Linked DNA regions of Ovis aries. The protein of the gene in region 1 interacts with the protein of each later gene in a pairwise test. Links are inferred from orthologs where the notes say so. Each region holds a gene or a part of one and is shown in the gene's direction. Other genes may lie near its edges.

Region 1 (3,500 bases):
CTCTCGAAGGAGCAAGTTTCGATGGGTTGGATAGTCCTCTAAGTGTGTGAGACACAGAATCTTTGTATACATTAGACAGAAATTCCTTAAATCTGAGATTCCTATTTCTAGAAAGTTAAAATTCTTGGTAAATTCTGTTAAAGTGTTAAATTCTATTACTTACATAGCCTCAATTAAGATCCAGGTCTTAACTATGTCCAGGTCTTAAGGGTGTTTGCCTCTCCCGCGGGAAGCCATGCTGTGATCTGGAGCAGCCAGCTGGCCAGCGTGGGCTGGAGTCACTCTGACTAAGTGGGGATGACAGCCGGTGTGCCCTTTATGTTTTTTCCAGGGCCTTGCATGCCGGGGAAGCAGCCCAGGGTCCTAAACTGACCCCACTTCCCATTTGGTTTGCCCTCCAAACTCACCTGCTCCAGGCTTGACTTCAGCCATGTCTTGGGAGAATTATCATAGTTGCTTTTAATTCTTTTTTACCATATGTGCCTTTCTGTCACTGAAGGGGCTGTGAAAAGTTGCAATATTTGAAGCATAGAGAGAGGTATTGGGGTTGAGGCAAATACTTTGCACTCTGAGCCAAAAAAATCCATTCGGCTTTCCTGTCTTTTATTTTGGAGAATGATGTTATCAGTGCTCTGAGTGTGCATAGTCCCAGGGGACTCTGTAGGTTGAGTATTGTTGGTATTGAGATGAGGTCAGGCATTCAGGAGGGTTTGCTCCTGGTTACCTGCTCAGCATTAACCCCTTGGTAGGCCTGGGCTCTGGGCTAGAACTCAGTCAGCGTTTTCATGACTCTTCCTTCCAGACCACACCTGTAACCATGCAAGTTGGAGAAGGTCAGCAGGTGCAAATTGTCCAGGCCCAGCCACAAGGCCAAGCCCAGCAGGCCCAGAGCGGCGCTGGGCAGACCATGCAGGTGATGCAGCAGATCATCACGAACACGGGAGAGATCCAGCAGATCCCGGTAAGCCTGCCCTGCCCTGCCCTGCCCTCGGGTCTGCGCGGCGCTGTGCGCGACAGTGTGATCAGGGACGGTTAGAGGTTTCAGTACACACACACACACAACACACACATACAACACACAGACACACAACACACACAGACACACACACTCTTTGTTGTAAACCTGTATTTCCATTACCCTAGACCCTAGACCACAACTGGCTTCACTGCGTACTCCCTGCTTTCCTTTAATCTGGGTTCAGACTCGCGGCTATGGGGCAGCACTTCTAGAGTTCCCCTCCCGCTGCCTGTGCAGAGAGGTCATTGTAGCCACTATTCCATGGCAAGGCCCAAAGGCCCTGTGAGGCAGTTCTGTCTTGATTTGCAGAGAATAAGAGGGAAGTGTATAGAGAAGGCCATAAATACACTTGTTGCATATTCATGAGTCAGTTCCCAGTGGAGCCTGCAACAAAGTGTATTTTTGGCTTTCATTTAACTTATCCATTGCTTCACTGTGGACTGCTACTTCCTGTGTGCCTTGAGGGATTTCATTTCTTATATTTGTTGGCTTTTTCACTTGTACTTGTTTTTTTGTCTAAAAAAAATGAAGAAAGTCCTCGTCGTAACATGTGCCACCTAGTCATTGGTCAGCTTGCCACAAAAAATGTGGAAAAGGCGTGACATAGAGCAGGTCTGTTCCTGCCACTCACCTTTCCTATTGTTAATGAAATGTTGGCAGACACAGACTTGGACTTGGCTAACCACTTCCTCTTTGAAGGAAGCTTGAAAAGTATCCTTAGCTCTATTTTGGGTAGCTCTTCTTAATTAACAGAGTAATAGGCCAAGAGAAAGCTGAGGAAAGGGGGCTATGTGCATCACTCTATCTCTTTCTTTGTCACCTCTCTCTGTCTTTCTTTCTCCCCACCCCCTTCTCTCCATCTCCTTCCCCCACCCTTCCTTCTTAAATAGGGCGGGGTTGGGGTGGGGTGACCACATGCACACAAGCATGCATCGATTTCAGATTCCTTGCAGCCACCAACTCATGACTTCTCTCATAAATGGTTCTCAATTTTGCATGTGAGAGCACCAAAATAAGATCATCTAAACCAGAGTAGAGTTCCCACTTCATAGTAACTTTAACCTGAGTCTTTTACAGACTTGGGGGCACAGAAGACTTGTTGCAGAGTTTAGGACTTAGTCTTCACTGTATGCTTCTGCAGGAGTCTGCATTTCTAGACTTAGCGGAGTGCTGGTTCCCAGGAAGGGAACTGTGCTCCTCTTTGGAAAGCCCAGGGAGTGGGCTTCTTTGCTCTGTTGCTGTTCAGTTGCTAAGTTATGTCCAACTCTTTGCGATCTCATGAACTGTAGCACACCAGGCTTCTCTGTCCTTCGCTATCTCCCAGAGTTTGCTCAAATTCATGTCCATTGAGTCAGTGATGCCATCTGACCATCTCATCTTCTTTTGCCCCCTTCTCCTGCCCTCAGTCTTTCCCAGCGTCAGGGTCTTTTCCAGTGCGTCGGCTCTTCTCATCAGGTGGCCTGAGTGTTGGAGCTTCAGCTTCACCATCAGGCCTTCCAGTGAATATTCAGGGTTGATTTCCATCCAGGGGGGTGGGCTTCTTTGCTCTGTGGTTAATGTTAAAAGGGTGTGAGGGTCCCCAGGATTATCCCTGCGGTAGAGGATTGAAGAGCAGAGCGTCCCCAGATATCTAAGCCCAAGCCTAAAAGAAGAGCTTGCTCCTAAGAACTGCTTAGAACTGTCCAGCTCACAAGTTTTCAGTCACATTTGAGTTTCTGCAAAGTGCTCTTTCCAGCAGGGAAATGTAAAATTCCTATGGCCAGCAATATACCTTCCCCCACTCCTGGGACCAGGCTTCTTACAGTCTTTCATCCCATGTCCTTGGCTGGAGTTCTGGAGACTCCTGGGACCAACCAACATCAATCTCGGCACATGAGGTTTCCCAAGCCTCCATGCAGCTGTCTTCCTCCTCGTAAGCAATTTAACGTTGGCCTGGAAGCTGCATTGTGGGATGTAGTGGGGGGTTAGGCTTGGCATCACAACTTCCCAACAACTCTTCTTGGCAAGTTCTCAGGAGAGAAATGACGGTAGGTCACAATATCTTGCCCTGTCTCCTTTAAAGCGGACTCTTAGTGGGTTTAGATTTTGTGTCCCTCCATCTTGCCTTAGACAATTCTGGAATGTTCTACCAGGAACTTCAATGTTCCTCTTTTCTTGGTTCAGTGTTCATCTTTTCTTGATGGTTCAAATCCTCTTTGAAGCTGAAGTTTCAGAGAAGCAGTTTGATTTAACACTTGTATGCAGGAGTTTCATCCTATCGGCATTTACTCATGGAAGTAAAAGCCCATATAATGAAGTTAGCTCTTGAAGGCAAGAGGAAAATTTTCTCCAGGACAGAGGCATGACTTGCCTATTACCCTCAAGAAGCTCACCCTTTAAAGAAGAGCAGGCCAGACAGCTTTTTTTCTGGAGGGTGGTGTCTAGGCCCCCAAATGGAGGGAGACTATATCTGCCAGTCTTCCTGGAGCCTCTTTCATCTCCC
Region 2 (3,500 bases), about 55 Mb from region 1:
AAGAAAGCTGATAAAATATTTTGTCTTAGCCATATGGATGATTATTGTGCACCGTAAAATAGGTAAAATTATTAGAAGACAGTAGTCTTCCCCTCCAAATACCTCCCTCTGCCACCCCCACCACCCCATTGGCAAGCTTCACAAAATATTCCACTGGTGAAGAAAAAGTGGTGTTTTATCACTTTCTGATATTTTCATATTTTCATTTTCCCAGCACTAGAAAGTTTAGGCTTTGGCTCTTATATCAGTGAAGTAAAAGAAGTCTTACAAGAATGCAAGACAGTAGCATTAAAAAGAAGAAAGGCCAGTTCTCGTTTGGAAAATCTCGGCATTCCCGAAGAAGAATTATTGAGACAGCAACAGGAATTATTTGCAAAAGTAAGTAACACATATTAACTTATTTCATGTGAATCTGACCCTTTTTTGTACACCAAAATCATACTGTTTTCTAAAATAATTTCCCAAGTCAATATGCATGTCCAAAATTTTGTTTTTGTGGCTGATTGTTTGATCATAGAGTCTGATGTTAGATCTGGCCAGTTTGACTCTATTTGGCCGGCTATTTACTTTACATAAAAGTAAATATTTGCAGCAGCCTGTTTTCTGAGGAGAACAACTCCGAATGACTACTGAGACTTTACTTTGATGTTTTTTTCAGGCAGAATGACCATTTAAAAGCATGAAAAGTATACCTTAACATTCGTAAGATTTAAACTGATGGACTGGTGAGAAAATATTTTATCAAATTTTTAGACGAACAGCATATAAAAAAAATCTGACTAACGTTTACTTTTTAGTTAACTTAGGTCTTTACTGCACCTTTAAAACACTCTGATCTTAAAAACTTTGAAGGGCCAGTGGAGCAGAGAAAGGCAGAAAACTTTTCTCCTTTTTCGCTTGTTCTAATGTCCAGTCTGTGGAGGATTAGCAACAAGAACTATTTGTTATTTCCCTCTGTTTTTAAAGAAAGGAGACCACCGGGAGCTGGAATTGAGTGGAGTTTGTGACTAGCCTCTCAGAATTTCTCCAGTGTTACTGCTCTGCCATCTTCTTGGCCTGCCTTAGCCCATTGTCAGAATCCTGGGTGCCTTCTTCATTCCCTTCCAGGTCCCTTGGTGACAGTAGAAACAAGCTCTGTAATATATTTTGGATCATCCCTCTGTGGAAGATCATATTTTCCAAAGATGACCACTATAGTATCTCTTACCCTTTGTCTCCATGACTCACTGTGCCTTCGTATTACAGCAGAGGCAACAAAGGCTGGCAGCCTTCATTATCTGGTAAAAATACCTAGGGATGAGGATTAGGAGATGAAGAAGCCCATGCAGCATGCAACACAGTTTCCATGTGGAGTGAATAACCCAACAACCAATATGCACATATACCCCATGCTGATGCAAAGAAAAAGCTTTCCATCAGTCCTTTCCACTCAGGCATGGGATGCACTGGGCCTGGTCCAGAATACCCACAGGCAAGAGCAAGAAGAAGAAATTGAGAGGGAAAAATTGGCCTTCCCTCCTCCTCTGCCAGGTTCCTTGAAGTTAGGGAGCAGGTAGTTACAGTGTACAACGGTTCTTTTCTTTAAAAAAAAAAAGTATTTATTTATTTATGTTTGGCTGTGCTGGGTCTTCATTGGTATGTGAACTTTTCTGTAGTTGCAGTCAGCAGGGGTTACTCTCTAGTTGCAGTGCAGGAGCTTCTCCTTGCGGTGGATTTTCTTGTCATGGAGCTCGAGCTCCAGGGCGCACAGGCTTCAGTAGTTGCAGCTCCTGGGCTCTACAGCACAGGCTCAGTAGTTGTGATACACAGGCTTAACTGTTCTACGGCATGTGGGATCTTTCTGGGTCAAGAATCGAACCCGCGTCTCCTGCGTTGGCAGGCGAATTACCACTGAGCCACGAGGGAAACCCTACAGTGATCCTTGAATGACTGAATATTCACTCCATGTAAGACTGAGAGCTTAATAACCTGGTTGTTAAGAATGCAGATCACTGACCAAGGCTAAATTTATCACCAGGGACTGAGATATCTTAATCATATTTTCACTTGCTCTTCTCTGTACCTTCTTCCTGTTTACCCTACAAAGGCAGGAGCAAGGAATTACAAACTTGAAGATTTACAAGAACAGCTTAAAAAATAGTCCATTCCATTTCTGGGTACTACTGAAATGCTCAGATTGCTCAAGCAGACTGTCTATAAGTACTGTCTATAAGTATAATAAAGCATTGAACTCACTTTCCAGTGGGAAGATCTTGAAAGTTAGACCTAAATCATTGGGTCAGAGGTGATTCTCTGGTAAAGAGGATGTAAAATACAGTGTTTCAGTTCCGTAGAGATACTTATTTCATCATAGGAATAGTGCTTTGTGGTCCTTTATAATTGTCTGTCCCTGCCCTCAGTTTGTAAGCTCGCTGACGGCTGGACCTATTATTAATTGTATCTTTAGAAAATCCCATGGACGGAGGAGCCTGGAAGGCTGCAGTCCATGGGGTCGCTGAGGGTTGGACACGACTGAGCAACTTCACTTCCACTTTTCACTTTCATGCATTGGAGAAGGAAATGGCAACCCACTGCAGTGTTCTTGCCTGGAGAATTCCAGGGACGGGGGAGCCTGGTGGGCTGCTGTCTATGGGGTCGCACAGAGTCGGACATGACTGAAGTGACTTAGCAGCAGCAGCAGCAGCAGCAGCAGCAGCAGCACCCATCTGACTTGGTAACTAGCACAGGGGGAGTATTCAGTAAATATTTGTTGAATAAATGACTGAGTTAAATTGATGAGTCAGGGAAGCACAGAATTCTAGGGGTGGAACAGACTTGAAATCATTTACTTTAACCTTGATCTTATAAATTATGATTCTGAACTTTGAGGAGGTTCAAGAATCTATTCACCATTATGGAAAAAAAAAGGAGGTGGGGAGAAGTGAGGCTGTTTTTTCCCTACAAAGTTCTGGCTTCTCAACTTGAAAATGGAAGACAGATTTGGTTTGAATAGAAGAGGTGAGAATTGATACAAGTTACTATAACTACTATTAGAACTAGGAAATACCATTTTAGGTCTTTTCCAGATTAGTTCCATAACTGATCTCTTTATAGTCATTAACAACCAGTTTGGTTTAAGTATTTAAATTTTAAGTTATCAAGCACTAGATACCAGATACCATTTAAACTGATAAGGAAGATAAAGCTTACCAATGTTTATTGAGTTCTAACCATGTGTTAATCATGTGCCAAGTGATTTACCAGTATCATTTAATCCTCACAACATAGAAAACAGGTACTTAAGTAGAAAAGCCTTTGAGGCAGGTAAGACCACATGCAAACAGTGTTGTAATCCATATGAATAGGAGGTACCAATGGAGGATTGAAAGTTTTTTTAAAAAGCTAGTGGCTATTATTTATTGAGTCTCTACTATGGGAGATCACCTACAGGGTGCCAGCGTAAATATTTGATAAAGGGAAAGATGCTCTGCTAAACATTTTATATACTTTGCAGAGTTTTC

The links. The genes of interacting proteins can lie anywhere in the genome.
Region 2: the proteins of NFYC (region 1) and DR1 interact in binary tests that used the Homo sapiens proteins (3 or more experiments, as listed by UniProt). The link is inferred for Ovis aries from reciprocal best matches to the Homo sapiens genes NFYC and DR1.

Annotation. Positions count from the first base shown.
Region 1 is NC_056054.1:15,281,660-15,285,159, forward strand, and holds part of NFYC (nuclear transcription factor Y subunit gamma), read left to right. Parts: intron 1-802; coding exon 803-961; intron 962-3,500. UniProt on the Homo sapiens protein: Component of the sequence-specific heterotrimeric transcription factor (NF-Y) which specifically recognizes a 5'-CCAAT-3' box motif found in the promoters of its target genes.
Region 2 is NC_056054.1:70,565,861-70,569,360, forward strand, and holds part of DR1 (protein Dr1), read left to right. Parts: intron 1-214; coding exon 215-378; intron 379-3,500. UniProt on the Homo sapiens protein: The association of the DR1/DRAP1 heterodimer with TBP results in a functional repression of both activated and basal transcription of class II genes.